Linked DNA regions of Astyanax mexicanus. Each later gene encodes a partner of the first gene's protein in a complex. Links are inferred from orthologs where the notes say so. Each region holds a gene or a part of one and is shown on either strand. Other genes may lie near its edges.

The links.
Region 2: the proteins of katnb1 (region 1) and katna1 are in contact, whole or in part, in a crystal structure (PDB 5OW5), measured with the Mus musculus proteins. The link is inferred for Astyanax mexicanus from reciprocal best matches to the Homo sapiens genes KATNB1 and KATNA1. Residues at the interface, in NP_083081.2 of Mus musculus: Leu485, Val486, Asp487, Glu488, Ala490, Met491, Gln493, Ile494, Arg495, Gly497, His498, Met501, Phe502, Val504, Leu505, Thr506, Arg508, His509, Leu512, Asp513, Val515, Arg516, Trp519, Thr521, Asp542, Leu543, Ile546, Gln549, Lys550, Leu553; in NP_035965.2 of Mus musculus: Leu5, Gln6, Ile8, Val9, Val12, Arg16, Ala19, Leu20, Leu21, Gly22, Tyr24, Tyr31, Tyr41, Leu50, Lys53, Trp54, Gln56, Val57, Glu60, Ile61, Val63, Glu64, Gln67, Val68, Asp70, Ile71, Thr74, Leu75, Ser77, Phe78.

The regions. Positions count from the first base shown.
Region 1 is NC_064423.1:1,801,993-1,812,556, forward strand, and holds the start of katnb1 (katanin p80 WD40 repeat-containing subunit B1), read left to right. Parts: upstream 1-6,206; 5' UTR 6,207-6,324; exon of another isoform or gene 6,325-6,336; intron 6,337-8,947; 5' UTR 8,948-8,965; coding exon 8,966-9,005; intron 9,006-10,406; coding exon 10,407-10,534; intron 10,535-10,564.
Region 2 is NC_064408.1:47,389,890-47,400,140, reverse strand, and holds the start of katna1 (katanin p60 ATPase-containing subunit A1), read left to right. Parts: upstream 1-5,555; 5' UTR 5,556-5,749; intron 5,750-5,788; exon of another isoform or gene 5,789-6,039; intron 6,040-7,825; 5' UTR 7,826-7,826; coding exon 7,827-7,988; intron 7,989-8,191; coding exon 8,192-8,334; intron 8,335-10,251. UniProt on the Homo sapiens protein: Catalytic subunit of a complex which severs microtubules in an ATP-dependent manner. Microtubule severing may promote rapid reorganization of cellular microtubule arrays and the release of microtubules from the centrosome following nucleation.

The DNA.
Region 1 (10,564 bases):
CACTTAAGAACAGCTTTGATTAATAGTTAATGTTTTTTTTTCTGATATGTATGTACTTGCATATTTCATTTAAAACGTCAATACCTTCAGCCTTTAGGATTTTATTCTGGGGAGAACCTATCCACTTCTTATCTCCACCGTTTTATCTGATTTCTTTTTATGAACCACTAAAGGGAGCCCGCGAGTCCTTAATAAATGGGGGTAATTTGAGTTTAATGGCTAAAACTAAAACAAAAACAAACAAAATGGCTTAAAAAAAGACAAATTACCTACATATATTAATTTTTCTCTAGTAAACAGGTTTTAGGCAGTAGTAGTTTAGGCACACACACACACACAGCCTGTTATAGTACTGCTTCACACACACACACACACACACACACAGCCTGTTATAGTAGTGCTTCACACACACACACACGCACGCACACACACACCCAGAGAGTCTTATTCTATTGGCAACATTTTTCTACATGGACTGGATAAGCTGTGTGTGTTTGTGTGTGTGTGTGTGTGTGTGTGCACTTGCCCCCCAAAATGTCTGTGCACGCCACTGTTGGAATAAATGATCAAATTGATACAAATTATTATAAGAACTGCCTATTCACTAAACATCTTAAACATTGTATTAGACTTGATTTGATATAGTGTTACAGATTTAAAGCAGCTCTACTGTCACACATTGCATTAATTATGTATTATCTTTATTTCCTTTTACATTGTAAAAGCTGTATATTTATAAAATAATACCTCTTTACCTGATATTTTTGTTGAAAATAACTTCTGTTACTGGCATTCATTCCTATCACTGGAACTCACTCCTGTTATTGGCACTCAGTCTTGTTATTATGTTAAAAGTACAGGACTGAAAGTAACATGACTTTTTAGTTTTTAGCATAGAATTAGCAAAAACATGAAAAATAGCGAAATGGTGGCTATGCTAATTTCTATTTTAAAAATAAACAAGTAATATTAAAGAATTAATTTAGGTAAGAGCAGTGACATAGACCTTCTTAGTCATAGTCAATTAGATCAAATATACTGAAAAACAAATAAGGGAACTTAATGTTGTTCTTCTCATGATCTTCAGAAGAACCAACTGAGTTGACCTCCTGTTGTAGATGTGACTTGTAGAATGTTCCAGATTGTTTAGATGGGGTAATGTGTTCCGGTAACACAACTAAAATGTGTATTTTAACTTATTTATTATGGATTTATTATGATTTTTTAAAATTTGCATTCACACAAAAATGCACAATTCAAAAAATTACTTGTCTGAAGGATTTTAATAATATTTCATGGTATAATTTATAGATAGAGAGGGGACAGGTAACAAATGCTTAGTTTTTAGTGTTCTATGTTTAATTTCATATCTTACTTTTGCAATTAGGTTAACGCAGACACTGTGCTTAAAAATAAAACGCATTTTAAAGTTACTTCGTGCAACGTTTTACCATTTTAAATGTAGGATACTTGTGTTATTATACTGTTAAACTAAAACTAAAATATATTTCAGGCATAGAGCACAGCTCACGCCTGTTAGAAGTTTTATGAGTAAATATAATCCCTTATCCCTTAAATATATAATATAATCCCTTAGATCGGAATGACACGTTAAAGAAGCGCAATCTAGCGATCATTACCAGTAACAGCCTCCCTGTACGAAGACGCAGCGTTGTTTAGACCGGATTCAGAACTCTGGGAGATCAGGGGACTTTTGCGCTTTTACAGCGCTGTAGATAGATTTATTAATCTCAGGTAAGCTTATATACGTGTATAATTAAACTACAAATGAATAAAAAACGGTCTTGAATTGACTCGCTGGAGATTAACACATTGAATGTTAAAATTTTTTTAGAATCTTTAGACTCTTTCACCCCAAGAGGAGCACTGAAACAGCGCTGGGACAAGCGTGAAAATCATTGATCGCAATACACGAGAAATATGTATTTTCATATTTAATAAAAAACAGCAGATTGCAGCATCTACTTGTGTTTATTATATGCCACAATCTAATAAACGATAGAATTTAATTTAGCATTATTAGAGATGTTTAAAGGACGGAAGACCATAAAAGACGTTTAAATAGGTTTGTTTTAACGTCGCATAATAGTCTTCTAAATGTTTATTGGTGGTCCTACAAACGTTCAATAAGAACGTCCCTTGCAACTTTTTGGCGACCCTTTTTTAGTTAGCTGGGAAAAGCATTTCTTTTGTTTTATTTAAATTTTATTTATTCATAGTTATACATAGTTAAAACTAAACTGTTGTCATGTGTGAAGTAAAACGCGTTACAGCAGTAGTGAGGAATTCAGCACAGTTTGTTGTTTAGTTTTTATCACCTATAAAAATATTCAATCTATTTTTTTATTCTAATCAACATGGAAACGGATTTGTCCTCTTTATGTTAAAAAGATTTGAAGCTTTTTTTAAAAATAATAATAATTGAAATTAAAAAATAAAAAGATTCCAAAAAAAATCTAAACAAAAAAAAAATGCATTAAATTATGAAAAATACAAATAAACCGGATAGTTTTAGCAACCACAAAAAAAAAATAATAAAATTTTAAAAAGCGAAAAAACATAGTTGGCATCAGTCTACTACCTTAAAAAACAACCATAAAAAAAAACAAACAAACAAAAAACAAAACCCACAAAATAATCAAATATTAAAAAATATTTGATAAGAAGATTACATTAAAAATCATCCATAAAACAACTACCCGCAAAAAAAATCCTCAAAAAATAAATATTAAAAAACGACCAAAAAAAGTTTACATAAAAAACAACCATAAAAAAACCATCAAACCATCAAAAAAATAACCACATAAATATTTACATATTAAAAACAAAAAAATAAAAGATTACAATAAAAAAAAAGTTGGTAGATATTTTTAATCAGATTTTGGACTTGGATGTGTTTTTTTTATTTATTGTTTGTTGGCTTATTGCCAACTTTGGAACATTCATGTCAATGACATCACAGTTTAGTTTACTGCTGTGGATATAAATATGAGGTCACTGTTCGAACACTATAAAAGGCGCAGCAGCACGAAAAACTTCAGTCGTCAACGGATTTTCGCAGCGACAAGATGTGTGCAGTTCGAGGGATACTAGGAGCAGCCAGCATTGCAGCTCTAGCTATAACTGCCGGTGGATCGCTTTACTACCTGTACCGATCCAGAACACAGAAGCCGACGACAACGGAGGAGACTACAGTCACTCCATTGGAAGGAGACCCTGAAACGGTGGAGGAGAGGCAGGCTGAGCCGATGGTTGAACCTGTACTCTCCGAGACTGTGATGGAGTTGATGGAGGAAGATGGAGGAGTTGACTGCACCAAGGAAGAAGATCAGGCCACTCTCATCATGGATGGGGCATTAGAAGCTGCCAGCCTGCTACAGGTCACTGACTTAACAGAGTCAGAAGAAGCTGTGGTGACCCTTAATACAGAGCTTTGTGAGAGTGTGGTGGAAACACTGGTGGAAGATGGAGGAGTTGACTGCCCACAAGAGGAAGATCAGGCCACTCTCATCATGGATGAGGCACCAGAAGCTCTCAGCCTGCTACAGGTCACTGAATTAACAAAGTCAGAAGAAGCTGAGGTGACCCTTAATACAGAGCTTTGTGAGAGTGTGGTGGAAACACTGGTGGAAGATGGAGGAGTTGACTGCCCACAAGAGGAAGATCAGGCCACTCTCATCATGGATGAGGCACCAGAAGCTCCCAGCCTGCTACTGGGCACTGACCCAGCAGAGACTAAGGAAGCCGAGACGGAGGCTGAATGCAGACCCGAAGCTGAATACAAAAAGAAGGAGAAGAGACGAGGGAGACGAGGAAGATCACAAAAACTACGAAGACTAGGAAGACTACGAAGACGAGGAAGACTAGAAAAACGAGGAAAGAGGCTGTATAAGTAGGACAGTGTAGGATTAAGTGGTTTTGTGTCAACGCAAATTAGAAATAAATCTGCATAAATCAAAATTTCAGTGTAAGGGGTCTTTTTTAGGTCTTTTAGTCCTTTTGAAGTCTTGTATGTGAAGTACAGTAGCACACTCCAGAAAAAAATTAAAAAACAACCTCAAAAATAATTACATATGAGAAAACAAGCAAAAATAATATTACATAAAAAATCAACCACAAAAAACAAACAAAAATACCCTTAAATAAAATAAATAAATAAAAAAGGTTTACATAAAAAACAACCATAACAACCTGGCTGAAGCTGAGGTGATAGTGGGGCCTGTACTCTGCGCGATTGTGATGTAGTTGGTGGTGGAAGACGGAGGAGTTCACTGCCCCCAAAAGGAAGACCAGGCCACTCTCATTGTGGATGAGGCATCAGAAGCTGCCAAACACTGGTGGAAGATGGAGGAGTTCACTGCCCTCAGGAAGATCAGGCCTCTCACATTATGGATGAGGCATCAGATGCTTCCAACCTGCTACTGGACACTGACCCAGCAGAGACAGAGGAAGGAAACTAAGGTACAAGATGTAACTGCTACAGAAGCTGAGACAAAGGCTGATAATGAGCAACCAGGAGGTTGTTGGGGCGGAGGTGGGATGCAAACTTTCGTCACGAAAAGTAGGTAGTTAGAGCAGGTATTTATAGGGTGGTTTATTGATAAGAGGTGTAGTTAGAGCGTGGAGTTTGGGTGTGGTCCTTCTCCCAAACTTTTTTTTACATATCATTTATGGATATGAAATATCCATAGCAAGCAACAAGAGTAAGTAACATCTTCAGAAGCACGTTTACAAAATTAGCAGTCAGTTTCCATATCACACTTATATTTTAAAAGAAAATCTTTAAAAGAAAATGTTATATATTAATTTCAGCCTAATTTCTCTCACTTTGTTAGAAATTAAATATTTTAAAGGTAAAGACCACACTATACACTCTACAATACTATTCCAAAATGATATTACTTAAGGAATTGTAGCAATGTCTTTCTGAAATAATTATCTTATCAGCTTATTATTTTGCTGGTGTTTAGCTGAAAGCATACTCCCAATATAAGTATCCAGTAAATCAAGTGAGTGACAAGGAAAGTTTACGCCTCTCAGCAGTAAATTTGCACCAACTGGTATAGCATTTATCACTGTAGAGTATTATCACTGTAGAGTATTTGTCAATTTTGTATTTATTAATTAGGTCAATATAACTGTATGGTCTACTATTTGATTCAAGTAGTTGACCAACTAAAATAAAATGATTCCAGTTTTCATAAAAAAGTGACTGCTAATCTGAGCTGATTGTTGGTGAGCTGATGCTGAAGTTAAAATCAGAGCATGTTTATAGCTGGAATTAAGAAGCTTTTAAAATATGCCTGCAGTGATTAAACATTTTATTTTGTTATATGTTGATGAAATTAGTAATTTATTTCAGTTTAAAAAAATGATTTTGTTCAATTGCTCCATATTGGACTTACTCGAGAGCGCCCTCTGTTGACCTAAAACAGAAATCCCGGTATAGATTGGTAACTTAAGTGGGTAACCTCCTCTCCGTTAGACTCTTCATAAACCGGTGTTCGAGTTGTGCTTCCCTGTCATACCGTGCTACCCTAGTGTATATTTAAATGTAAAATGCCAGAAAAAGCTTCATATTTTAAAATCCGGAATCAAAATGTCAGGATATGGTTTAAACGGAATAGACGCGATTCTCTCGTGTTTTTGTATTTCTTTTTATTGCGTGCACGCGCATGGCGTTAAGAAGCACATATCGATGAGTAGCAAAATGTGTCTGAACACTGGTGTTCTGTCGAGTTGTGCTTCCCATCGATAAGCGCCTTTTAGCTGTAGTGCGCATGCGCTGTCCCACATTATTATTATTATTTTTTTTTTAACGTTTTTTCATGGTAGTTCTGTTTTCCTCCGGTTTATTAAACAACCTGAGCTCACTGACTGTTATTTTAGTGAGTGTTACAAACGTGTAATTTACAAACGTGTAATTAATAATAAAAAATATAATTTTGTTAAAAAAACAAAAAACAATTTCTAATCGCCTATATCGTCTTATCTGTGCCCTAATACAGTGGTTTTAATCTATTCAAATATCCTAAATACACTTTTGACGTTGAAGTTCTAATAACGTGATATTTTTTATTTTTAACTGTAAATATACACTAAGGTAACACTGTTTGGCAAGGTAGCACAATTTGACACAACACCGGCTCAGCTCAGCTCCGGCAGTGAGCGCAGTGCATTATGGGTGGGCACGCGGAGCGGCTGGTTGGGTGTCAGTAGTAGATTAGCTCAGTTTGTGTTTATATTGTTTAGCAACCGATCAGCCGGACTACCGACCGGCCGGACCCACCGGAGCGGCGATAGGTAAACACCGGGGTTAGTCAGCGCGTGGCTCGGTGTGTGTGTTTGGGGTCAAGGGTGTTTACAGGACGCAGGTTGGTAATGTTAAGTTAGCTGGTGCTGTAGGTGTGAGTTACAGGTTTTGGTGAGAATAAGCTCCAGGCTGCTCCCCGGCCGAACAGCCTGTAGTTTTAACCTAAAGATAAATCACTTTACAGCGGAGTAAACTACTTACAGACCACAGGATGTGCTCAAATACATAATAATCCAGCTGTACTGGGAGTAAACCTGAGTATTAATAGAGAATATTCAGTATAGATGTCTGAAATGCCAATTGGGGCAACTGACAGCCAAACACTAGCTACTAATTTAAGGTGTTTGTTTAAAGGGGCTCTAAACCCCCTGATTTTGGACTGGTATGTTACATTACTTCAAATGAACACATTTTAGCTATTAATAATAATAATAAAAAAAAATAAATAAATAAAAAAAAAAATATATATATATATATGGCTATTTGAAGCGATTCTTTTAAACTAGCACTACCTCACTTTAACTAAAGTAGGTTAACAGTGTTAATGTCTGATTTAGAAAGGTAAAACTGTATTTTCTAAACTACAGTACCAGGCAAACGTTAGTACTTCATCCAAACTATGAAGAAAAACATGGAATTATTTAGTAAACAAAAAAGTGTTAAACAGGCCAGAGTATGTTTGTTTTTTTTAGTTTCTTTAGATATTTTAGCACCTCCTGCATAAATGACAGCTTTGCACATCTTGGCTGTATTTTCCCAGTCAGTTTTATAAAGTAGAGTCACCTGGAACAATTCAGGCTTTCAGTTCAGAGATATCATTAAGAGTTAATTACTTGAATTTCTTGTCTCTTAATAAAGTGTTTGAGAGCATCAGTTAAAGTAAAGTAGTGAAGAGGTAGAGTTACAGGTATACAGTGAATAGTGAATATTTGAGTAATGTTCTAATCTGTATTATCTGAACTACTCAACTAAATAAAGAAAATAAATACTTTAAAAATAGAAGGTCAGTCAATATGATGCTTCATGTTCTTCAATGTGTCTTTTAAAGTTTTCTCAAGTGCTGTTAAAAAGATCATCAAAGATGTTATGATTAAATTGGCTCTCATCAGGGCCGTCCAAGTAAACAAAGAGCGAGAGTTTCCTCTGTTGTACAGGATAAATTCATTAGAGTTACCAGCCTCAAAAACCACAAGTTAACAGAAGCCCAGATAAGAGCACCTAAATACTTCACAGAGTATTTTTATTATATTTTTAAACACTCTTAAGTCACTACATGATTCCTTATGTGTTCTTTCATAGTCTGGATCACTTTATTGTTAATTTACTCTGTAGGGAAAAATAAGAAAGGCACTAAATAAGAAACTTTTGATTGGTACTCTTTATGTGTTTTTTTTGTCAGAATTTGTCAAAGTTGGTGTTGGAACATATATAAGGTTTAGAAAATGTGCCAAAATGTACCGGTAGTCCTATGACAATGAATAATCACTGATAAAAAAAAAAAAAACATTGAATAAACATTATTTTTGGTTACATTATTTATAATATTGTGTAATAATGATTATGAAAACAACCTTAAAACAACCTTTATTTAACATTGCCTAATAGGCAACAATAAATATCTGATGTTAAAGCAGCGTTAATTTAAAGAGTTTTAATGGTTGGGGTTCTGAAAGCAAAAGGTGCTCCCCACAAATAATAATCATTGTTATTGTAATATTATGAATTAGAATTACTTAAATGCACTGCAGAAACACAGGACAATAGAATATAAACAACATACACACTAAATGTAAATAAATTGTAATAGAAAAACATCACATATTAAACTATAATGATTAATTAATGTTGATTCAACATAAATCGATGGGCATTAATAGATCAGTTCATTAAAGATGAAAACCATGGATTTGTTATGGAAGTGTTAGATTATTTTGCTTATTTTAGGGATAATTATCTTAATGATTCTTACTTAGAATTTGTACCTTATTTTAAGTAATTTGAACTCAAAATAAACACAATCAAGCAGCAATCAGGTTATTCTAATTCTTGTGTCCAAAAACAGAGACTTTTTTTGCTTGATTTAGGTGTTACTTCACTCATTTTGAGACTTTGCCATTGCTTTTTGTAAGAAATCTTACTAAGAAAATTTGCTTACCCCATTGGCAGATATTTTTTTTTGCTTAATATACATGTATTTGTCTTAATTTGCATATATTTTGTCTAGTATTTGCCAATTGATTTTTAGCAGTGCATACTTGAACTATCTGGGATGTTACCTAAAGATGAGGTTGTGATCATGTTAGCATGACAGAGTTATTAATAAAACATAAACCATAAAGTGGAATGTTTGGACACCAGTGTTGTGACTACGACAATGTCGTAACAATGTGTTTGCTTACTAACTTTGGCAAAACAAAAGCAGTTAATTATAAATACTGCTAATTATGTTAATCTCCATGTTAAAAATAACATTTATTGGTAATTATACATTGTCATGTTTTGTGAGTTTTACTGTAGATTGTCTGTACATACAGTAATTGATGAATTACTTGCAGAGAGTCAATCAATTAGATTATTTAATGATGTAATGATAGAATTTACTGCTCTTTTCAGGTTAAGCTCATCAATGCTATGGCTGCCTCAGACGTCACCAAAATGTGGTGGAAACTGCGTAAGTACTTTAATTAAACTCTTTTCCAGAAATGAACATCCTAATCATTCCCTGGAAAAGAACAGCTATATGTCAGTTCTTTTTAGGAGAAAATATAATATATTTGAACCAGGTGTTCTGTTAAAGATCATTTTAACTGGTAGACAGAAGAGCTGGAAGACATTTGTATCACAATGTATTTGTTATTTTTATTTTGTTGGTAAAATATAATTCAGATAGCGATATGAACTGTATAAAAGTCTTTGCATGTGGTCACGCGCTGACAGAGCTAGGGGAAATGCTAAAAATATTATATCACGATATTTGAAGAAATTTTCAATAAATACATTTTTGTAGTATTCATTGCATCAGTTTGATATGAGAATCATGTTGAGCAGAGAATAATGAATTCTTAGATTATTTGGAGTTAACTAGTCATGACTGTATTGCACGGTCGTCAGCTTGTTTTTGTCCGTGCTTTTAAGGTTATTGTTAATAACTATTTGTTACATGTTACTAATAATTAACTATTATCATGAACTATCCATGTTGTAAATAACAAGAACAGTAATAATGTATTTAGTTTATTCTTTACAATTCTCCAAGTGCTACAAAGAAAGGTATTTACAAATCTCTACCTATAAATCAGAATTTCTCAATACTAATTTTATAGCTTTTAAAATTCAGTTTTAAATTGATACTATATGTTATGAGCGCCGAGTGGTCCAGTGGTCTAAAGCGCTGCCACTATGAGCAGGAGGTCGCAGGTTCGAACCCCCACTCATGCAGCTTTACCATCAAGAATCTGGTGCTCAGAGGGAGCACAATTGGCCTTGCTCCCTCCGGGTGGGTAGATGGCGCTCTATCCCCACATCACTCCTAGGGTGATGTCTGCAGCACAGGGCGTCTGTGAGCTGATGTATCAGAACCGAGTTGCTGCGTTTTCCTCCGCGTGTTAGCGCTGTGATGCTACTCGGTAATGCTGCATCAGCAGCAGCTTAAAAAGAAGCGTTGTCTGACTTCACATGTATCGGAAGAAGCATGTGTTAGTCTTCACCCTCCTGGTGTGTTGGGGCATCACTAGTGATAGGGGGAATCCTAGTGAGTGGGTTGGGTAATTGGCCTGGGAGAAAATGGGAAAAATTAGAAATAAAATTATATATATATATAAAAAAAATCATACTGTATGTTAACCTGTCAGAAAGTGCACAAGGCTTTCCTTAAGATTTGGTGTAGTTCCTAATAAAACTGAAAATTAAAAATGTATTTTAATTTTATTGTTGTATTAAATATGAAACAGCAGGCTAGTAGAGAGAATGTAATAATCATAATAATAATCATGACTTCACAAATTTAAGCTGCACAACTTTGAGTTTACTGGAGCTTCATCTGCTTAATTTATTTTTTTTTTGTCGTGATCAGAGGACATGGTGGCCCACTCCAGTAAAGTGTCCTCGCTGGTGTTGGGTAGATCAGGCCGCTTGCTGGCTACTGGAGGAGAGGACTGCAGGGTCAACATCTGGGCCGTCAACAAACCTAACTGCATTATGGTAGGGGACCACTATACCAGTGTGGTATAT
Region 2 (10,251 bases), on another chromosome or scaffold:
GCCAGTCGAGGGCCAGAGAGAACTCCTCAGACTTCATCCAAGCAGTTATACATTTATGCAAATGACGTGATTGGACAGAACTTATCAATATGATTACGTCAGCAGAGTCCAGTTAACAGTTTGTTGTCCAGTTTTAATGACGTGATCCGCTCCAGCCTGTCTGAGCAACAAGTTCTTATCATGATGTTGTTCAGCACTGTCTTTCATGAACACAGCAGACAGTCCTTAAGTGTCCTAAAGTCTGTGAGAAGATGAAACAGAGGAAAAGAGTGGATGGAAAGATCTTCTGGCCTGTGTGCGACTTTACGTCGTGTAGAACAGGCATGCGCTGGCTATCTGAGGAGAGGTTCCCAGCACTTCACTCAGAGAGCTTGTTGTCTCCTAGTTCATATGCACTGGTCCCAGAACAGCAGTGAAGCTTCTCAGCCACTCAGGGTCACGTTCTCCTCACAGCTCTCATTGTTGATGAAAACACTCTGACCTTCCTGATTCCTGAAAAAGTAAAAACAACCTCCAAAGCCTTGTGTCATTGTGACAGTTAAAAAGAGAGCAAAGATCATAAGGTTATTAAGTGAATTATAAAGTGAACAGTAAAAATAATAACTGTTAATATAAATCAACATTTAATTAAACATTTAAGAATAAGAGTGTGAAGGTGTGGTTATCTCTAATCACACCCTTCAGTGGACACCCCTTGTAATAGTGTATAAAGCCCCAGTATTAAGCTGTGGAGCAGTGGAACTGTGTTCTCTGGAATGATGGTGTTCATCCAATACTTTTAAGATGATGTGAGATACGATGGACTGGTTATCATCCAACAAGATTGTTTAAGAGTCGTAAAGAGGAAAATTCTAGCTTTAAGCTAATGCTACAGTGGCGTGAACTGACCTCACAGCTGCAGAGATCGGAAGGGGACTCTCTTCGGCACAACACCAGTGAACTCCGGACGAATGTTTACAGCATGTTACAGTCAGCTGATCCAACTAATGAACTAACTGCCCTCACTGAGGAGAGCTAAAAGTGCCACAGCAGAAAATCACTAACCCAACAGCACAGAATTACCCCAGAACCAGCTTTAAACACTGTACCACGTTTTAATATTTACAGTCTTTATTATGCTGTGAAATAAATTAGAGATGTTTAGTCTTTCTGGTTCGTTGTTTTAGCACATTAATCCTTGTTAGGATTTGTGGTTATATAATAGGTTTCAGTGGAAAAACACACACATTAAGCCTTTTAACATTAAGTATTTTAGACTCTATGGTTCTAGCTTTGTGATTCTGAAGTAACTGCTGCATCACAAAGCTCCCCTCAGCGAGGGCAGATAGTTAGTTGATTAGTTGATTATTTGGGTCAGGTGTGTTGTAATTAGAATAAACCAATGACCGTAATTAAATATTAAATCTGCAAGGAAGCGCTGCTTATTATCTGCCTTTTAAAGCTCTAACACAGACTACACTGCTTAACATTACACTGCTCACTATTACTGAGAGAGTTTTCACCTGTTTAAATACTTTAATGATCCTGTGTAAGAAAAAATATTAATCCAAAACGCAATCTGGCCGGAGTTAGCTGGTGTAGTGCAGAATTGAGCCTGCAGCCATTGTCTGCCGCTGTGCTGTGACGTTACGCATTAGCTTAAAGCTAGCATTTTTCTAATTATTACCCCTAAACAATCTCAAAATTCAGAGGATCCAGTGTTGTTCAAGATGTACATATATACAGAATAAAACGTACAGGGTTCTGAACATATTTATTTACCACAGTGTTTAAAATATTCATTTTTTTCATTGACCTGAACCGCTTAGACACTGAAACCCCAACCTGGCGCAGACTACAAAATGACAACACGACTTCAGTGGTCTATTCTTGTATCACTTCTTGTATTGTGTCTAAAAGAGAGGGAGAGGGAGAGAAAGGAGCTCCCCTTGTGTGCATATTCATGAAGCACATACAAAACCAAGATTTATATTTTATAGATAGATAATCCCTATATTATATTATATATAATATAGACAGATAATCCCAAATTGGTCCGGGGGTACCTCCCTGAAATTAATTTTTGCAACTTGGAATGCCCAATCTGTGACGTTTAGTCATTAGAATGGACGTCCACAAAGATTTGGGCGAGGGTACATTACAATAGGTCTGTAACGATTAGTCGATATAATCGACAATATCGATTATTTAAATTTGTAGACTACAAATGTCATTGTCGTCTAATCATTCATTTGTAACAGAACCGCATCACACAACGTACTGGGGACAAAAGGAACTTGGTCCGTGTTTCCAAAAGTGCCCAAACACAACAGATTACATATTTATTAACTAAATATCAGTACTCTCCACGCTTAAACAACATGTGGACATTTAAATGCCTTTTAAATCTCATGTTTAGCTGTTTCTCTGTTGTTTTTAGAGATGGAGGACATGGCAGAAATAATCGTTGACTAATTGACTAATCGATAAAATGGTCATCAGATTAGTCGACTACCAAAATAATCATTGGTTGCAGCCCTACATTACAGTAGCACTTATAAAAGTGAAATAAAGTAAATTCTTAATTTTTATAAAAAAAAACAAAACAAAAAAAAACTGTAAATTGTAAAAGTGGTCACACACACACACACACACACAGTCTTAGTCACTCACCTCGTCCACAGTGTCTGCCTAAACATCTAGCCACATAGCTTATCATTGAACAATTTGTCTAGAATACATTTAAAAATAAAGAAAACTTAAAAAAAAATAAAACAAAACCCTGAATAAAAAAAAATAAAAAAAATTAAGTAGAATAACAGTTTCGGCTAACTGCTGCTCTTATAATAACATTTAACATGGCAAAAAAAATATTTTTTTTTTTACGTAAAAATTAAGTTATTTTGAGATGTGACTGCCTATTTAAAAAAAAAGCAACAGAAGTTGTTTATTTGTTAGAGTTCATGTGTAACATTTCTAACATATTTTAAGGTGTTTCACTCATTTGTTTTGTCCCACAACGTTAATCCTTTACAGCTTCAAAAACATATATTATGCAAATTAGGCGATGGCGTCATTTAGCGACTTCCTGCAACTAGGACAGCCAATAGCTACTTTCCTTACTGAGGAGTTGGCAACACTAACAGCATATTACACACAGCTGATCCAACTAATGAACTAACTGCCCTCTCTGAGGAGAACTGAACAGAAAATCACTAACCCTTAGTGATTAGATTTTTTTTTAATTTATGCATACATAAGACCTAAAACATCATAAGATTTTCACTTATGTCCCAAAATTAGACAAAGAGAACTTAGTTAAAAACACATTTAACTTAATCCCATATAACCCATTGTGTTAAACTGTGTTAATGCTGCTACACCCAGGGGCAGATTTTACCACCACGCAATTGCGTGGGGCCCCCGGGATCACTGGGGTGGGGGGTTGACATATCTTGACATCAAAATTTCACACACTCCTAAAACTGGTGGAAAGCCTTCCCAGGAGAGTTGAAGCCTAAAACATCAACAGCAGAGCTGAAACATCATATTAAACCCTATGGATTAATAATGGGTTGTCACACAAGTTCATATGAGCGAAAATGTAGGTGAGTACAAATACACTTTGTATGAAATGTATGTGTGAGAGCGGTGTTCAGGAGTCTGAGGCTGCATCCAGAACCCCCCAAACAGTTGCTCTTTTGTACTTCCGTTCCCCCTCCTCTCCTCTGTGACCCAGAAACTGATTTCATGATGCCATCTTGCCACCTGTCTAAATACCAGAGGAGAAGAAAGAAGCCAATAACACCACAGTATGCTACCCAGGAAATGTTTTATAGATTTTGGGTTGGCTTTAATTTCAATTCAATTCAGTTTTATTTATATAGAAGTTGTCACAAAGCAGCTTCACAGAGAAAAAAACAGGTCCACACCTCTTATGAGCGAGCACCACAGAAATGCCAAAAGAATTGTGGTGACAACAGTGGCAAGGAAAAACTCTCTTACATCTTTGAGGCCTCGCCCACAAAGCACCTGAGCACAGATTTTTAAATCAAATTAATTACTTATTAATTCATTTATTTTTTGACATATGTATGTGTCGAAATAATACTTAAAAACACTTGTGTAATTGTTGAACATGTATCATCATCTATGAACAAATAAAAAAATAGATAAAATGAAATAAAATTTAAGAAATAAAAAAATAAGGCTTTCTCTTTTATTTGATTGGCAAATATTTCACATAATTTCAGAAATATAGAATTTTCTCTGCAATGAACTGGAGTTTACACATCCACATTTAACAGGATGACCATATATCATATGCTGAGATTGGCTGGGCAGTGTTAGGGGAGTTGAAAATGAGCGCTGTGATTGGCTCAGTTAATAAGTAGTCAACATTCTATTAAAAGGCATCAGCTGTCCCATTTTCTCAATTACTGCTACTTCTCTCCATTCTTCCTCCTCCTCCTCTATTCCTTCACCTTCTTTCGGGGTAGGAGAGGAGGAGTAACAAAAGTTACTGGACGCAGCCCCAGTGTAGAGACTTTTATTTTGAAGATAATTCAAACAGCAGCTGCTGTACTCACCCTGCTGGTGTAGATGTGAACTGGGGCGGATTTAGAGCTGGTTTATAGGGAGCCTGTCCACTTCCCATCTCTACCGCTGTATCAGAACATTACTAAGAACCGCTAGAGGGAGCCCGCGAGTGAGGCCACACTGGATGGGGTTGAATGGAGCTAAAGGGATAAAACTAATTAAAATAGTAAAACTACTTTCTCTGAATATTCCTTTAATTGTTAAAAGTATAATAATGTATTTTCCTAAAAATAAATGAAAAGAAACATACCAACATATTTTACTTTTTTCAGTAAACAGGTTTTAGGTAGTTTAGGCGCTCATTTTTGCTATTGTGCGCTGAGTGGTTGGTGAACTGATACTGGATTTACAGTCAGATCTCTGAGTTTAAAAGCTTAATAACTGGAGTTTTACCCTTTTAACAGGCCAGGATTTTTGTCAATTGTCTGCCTGACATTACACCTCTAAATCTTGGGGATTTCTATTTAAGCATTACATAAAAAGCTTTCATGTTTGATAAGAAACATTACGGAAAAGCAGAATTGTAATTGTAATAGAAAATATAAAAAATATATTTAAGCAAACCTGCTAATGTCAAAATACAATTAATAAAATCATAAAATTGGCTGAAATCCTGAAGAGAGAAAACAGCAGCTTCTGCAAGTGCCTTGTACGAGATTTCAAAGCCCTCAAATTTTCAGAGTGTAAAAAAAACTTATTTTACTGCAGAAAATAAGGGATTTCTATCATCTCCACCTGTAGCCCGTATACAGGTCAAGGCACGTTAATATGTTAAACGCTTTAAAGAATATCTCTGCAGTACTGAAACATTTGATAATGTTCTGTGTTGGGGAAATGAGAACATTTTTCATGATACAAATACTTAAACATTTATAAACTCTGATTTTGCTCCGTTTCTCCATATAAACCCATTAATTTTGGTCTCACTCGTGAGCGCCCCCTGGTGGCTCTACAATTCCAGCAGAGACTCTTAGCTCAGTGTGTTTTCTCCTCTCCAGAGATTCTCTCCCGGGTTTACCTTCCTCCGAAACTCTGCCAACAAGTGTCTGTAGATTTATTCTGAACTTCAGTGACTAATCTCTCTCTCTCAGATGCTGAAGTTCGTGCTGGAGGTGGATTGTTCGCAGTGGTTTGTTTTTTTACAGGCTGCTTCTGTTCAGCGCTGAGACAAGTGAGTTATTTCAGCTCGATCATACTGAACTAAACTTTATATAACTTACATGATTTTGATAACCTGCTCAACCAACGATTGACTGCTCCAGTCTGAGTGGAGCCGGTGTGTTACAACTAGTGTAGCTAATAGAGAACTATAGCGCTGTAAGAGAGTTAAACGGGGAGTTTTATCAGTTTTTGGGTGTTTGTCGTGGATTTTCTTGAATTTGTGAAGTTAATCTTAAATTACTGGGCTATTTTACCGTCAGTACAGACTTAGACAGTAACTTTCTCTTCGTTAACCGAAAGGTAAGCGAGCGAATTGTATTGTACCGTGTTTTTGTGTTTGGTTTATTTGTATTGACTCTCTTGCAGTCTGGCTGTAACTAGGTTGACTAACCTACGTGTTTTTGTCGCATTAGCATTAACTTATGTTGGCAGCCATAATAGTTTGCTATGCTAAAGGTTATGCTAATGTAGCTAGTTAACTAGGTTAACTTAGCTACTAATTAACTTAACTAAATTAAGTTAGTTAACCTTGTTGACTAGCTCAGTTAATTAGTAAACGCTAGCTACATCAGTTTAACAGTCTTCAAACTATTAGCTAAGCTAACTATCGCTATGCTAGTTAGTTAGGTTAGCTAGCTAGTTGATTAGCTTAGCTGGGTTTGTTAGGTAAGTTTAGCTAACGCTACCAGCCGTAGAGTCTGTTGGAAAAAAAAATCACATAACATTAGTTAACTTAGATAATTACCCATAGTTAGCATTAGTTAATCTTATTTAAGCTTTTTTTATTGATATTTATCGTGTTTGCCAATTAGTAAACTTACTAGCTAGCGGTAGCTAACCTAATCTAAATAAAAAGTAAAAAAAAAAAAAACCTCAGTTTTATAAAAATAAGAGTTAATACACACTAACCCAAAATAGGCCATCGAGACGTGTGTCACAGACCCTTCTACAGCTGTGTACTTAAATTAGTGGTGTTTTTTTTTATTCAATGTCCAATTATCCAGTTAATCACAATAGAATTATGTGATTAATCACACTTTTTCTTCCTTAAGACTATGCGTTTGATAATGGGTACCTTAATTACCTTAAATGTGTATAAAATAATCAGTGATAGAAACACATTTGTAGTATTGGTGCCAAGCTCTTAAAAAAAATAATCCCAACAATATTCTTTGACTAAATCATGGATAAAATCATGATGGTACTTAAGATACTGTATTTTTTGGAAAGGGTTAGTAATAATGGTGTAGTGTGGTTTACACTTTTTCTTTACATTATTATATAATTCTCAGGTTAGTTTTGATGCCCTTTAACTAGAATATTATAATGTGTCGAGTTACAGAGTTTTTTAACAGCTTGAAAAGAGAAAATGTGTGTAAGCATACACTTCAGTAAAAATAAAAGGCAATATACCTTCTGAACTTAACAGTACGCGTTGCTGTTTAATGTCTTATGCGTCACCAGGCTCTGTCAATATTGTCACAAGATTAAATTGTGTTTAAAAAATAAAAAATAATAATTCAAGATTTGAACCACTCAAAAAAAAAAACATAAAAACAGTCCACTTCGAGATTAAAGTCGTAATATTACAGGATTAAAGATCAAGAGTTGCCCTAACACGCTGTCGTACAGGTTAATTACATCAGGTAACTCGTTAATGTTGACAGCCTTAGTGTAAAATTTCTTACAGCACTTTATTTGTCATTTTAACTGATGAAATCTTAGTGAAACATACCAGAAATCTTAAGAGGATCACAGGACAGTTTTCACTTTAAAAGTGTACAACTACTAAAGTACGATGTTAAAATGCCAGTTTTAAAATTGGTGTTGTCAGGATTTTTATTTAAAAATATTTAGTCATGTGCCCACAATAGGAAAAAATCATGAATGGGTTGCCTGCTGGATTTATCTGATCAGTAATCATAAATGGGTCTGAGTTCTTATGGTTTAAGTTGTGAAATGTTCAGCAGTTACAGAGAGACTAGCCTTACTGACCTATTTGTCTTTTTTATTTGATTTGAGTTTCTTTCAGTACTAGCTATTATGTTCTGGTTATGGGAGGTAATTTCACTGTGTCCTCTTCCAGAATGAGTCTTGTAGAGATCAGCGAGAATGTAAAGCTGGCCAGAGAGTACGCCCTGCTGGGTAACTACAGCTCGGCTGTGGTTTGCTACGAGGGAGTGCTGGAGCAGATCAAGAAATACTTATATTCAGTGCGAGACTCTTCTTTACAGCAGAAATGGCAACAGGTAAGACTACAGCCTCCCGGGACACTGGTATGGTAACCCCTGGAGTTACTGGAACTGTCATTACTAATTGCCCAGAGGCAAGAGTTGCTGTTTGAACTGCCATTGTGTTCCACATTCATGCAAACATTAGTATAAAGGTGAGGCAAGTGGTTTGATGTGTAAATAGTCTGATTGTTTTGAGCTTGTTTGTGTCCTGTGTTCAGGTATGGCAAGAGATCAGCGAGGAAAGAAAGCACGTGAGGGACATCATGAGGACACTGGAGAGTTTCCAGTTGGAGGCTGCCCCGTCAAAGCCGAGCAGTTTCAGCCAAGAGGATGATTTTATGCCTGCCCAGGTGGAACATAGGTATACCCATAGAATGACAGGTTATTTTTCATCATTTTGAAAACTAAGGACAGCTATGTGATGGATATATCACTAATGCTGAGTGAAGTCATGCCATTTTATCTATGACTTTAAGTCAGTGACATGGCTTATTTACAGGGGTGATAGCGTTCCGGCGCAGCGTGGCTCTATAAAAAAAATATATATATAAATAAAATAAATAAATAAATAAGTAGAGCCGGTTCAGGTATTAAGTCCCGCCTCTCAGTAGAAACAGCCAATCAGCTTGCTGTTTTTGCGGCGCGCGGAGGAAGCCCCTCCCTTGCTGTGAGATTTAGCAGCGGGATCGGACGCAGCAGCTTCAGCTGATTTAAAAACAGATCTGGATATACGGAGATTTTTCTCAAAAAAAGATAACGGTAGGCTAAACACGTAAACTGTGATGATATGTTTCTGATAGCTGGTTAAAAATACACTTCTTGTATCAGCACACAGATTAAACCCACTGTGATTAATAAACTGCAGCTGTGTTAGTGAGTTAGCTTGAGTTTGGAATTAGCTAGATAGGGAGTCAAGGTTTTAGAAAATAAATAAACTATATATGTAATGTTCAACTTGCCCTGTACCTGATCAGCTAATCACTATTTCACATATTTCACTGTCGTTATTAGTTTAGGATTACAGGAGAAAATGAATATAGCTAATTAGCTAGAAGCCAGATGTAGTGGATAGTCAGAATTTAGTACAGTACTTTATGTTTGTAGTTTAAAGCAGTTTCTTAACCCTGATCACTGAACTAAAATTGTGTTTTCCACCTGATCTTCATTTCACCTAGATTTTCACCTGATCTTGATTTTCACCTAGAGTGACAGCTGTCACAGTGAAAATTAAGTGGAGTTATTCACCTCCTTTTTTACACCTCCTGAACGGATCAGTGTTTTTGGGGCCGATTCCGATCGCCGGTCGTCTTTCACCACGATGGGCCGAGCGCCGATACCGATCTTGGGCGGGGCCAAATGCCACATTAATGCCACACAGGTGCCTGGCAAACCTGGCTGGTACAGATTCCCCTAATTACATCCACACCAAAGCAAACACTGGTAATTTACGCTGCTAGTAAATAAACATGAATGTTACTGACCAAAATAAATGCTTTTTAGGAGAGATATAAGTTCTGTGTAAATATTTATAAGACAATACCTGACAAAATCAGTTTTAATGACGTTAAATAAACATCACTGTGACAGCGCTAGTCGCAGTTTCACCGCAGTAAAGGACGAGGAGGTGAATCACTTATCTAAGCAGCCTTTACTGATTTCTGCTCCAATAACCCTTTCAATAACCTCCAATAGCCTTTAATAGTCTTCAGTAGCCTTCAACAGTCTAACCTTGCAGCCGTGGTGTGTCCACTAAACTCCGTAGTTATAAACATCATGAGGTTAGCAGCGCGCTAACTGACCTGTTTATAATGTAATCCGAGCAGTGCCTCCGTGACAACTGCTGCTGTTAGCTGCTTTGGCTGATAGGTGAACTGTAGAGAGCTGTATTATCCGTTTTTAAAACCTTTTCCTACACAGATGAACTTAAAAAAAACGTGTAAAAAAAAACGCTCCAGACTGGCTGAGCTGAGCTCTGTAGCCCGTGGCTGGGCTGTAGCTGTGACTGAGTGAAGAGAGCGGGGCTTGTGCTGCTGCTGCAGCTCCCACTAGTGGTTGGATGAGTAACTGCAGCTTCTTGTAAGTGAGCAGTTTCACCGGTTTCACCAGTTTCATCCACACACAGCTCTGATAAACTGCTTAACCCTAAACTCCTGAATCAGATCGGCTAAAATCATAAGAATATCTGCAGAACAGTGTTAATATGCAGAAGAATATACAGAACAGTGTTAATATGCAGAAGAATATACAGAACAGTGTTAATATGCAGTAGAATATACAG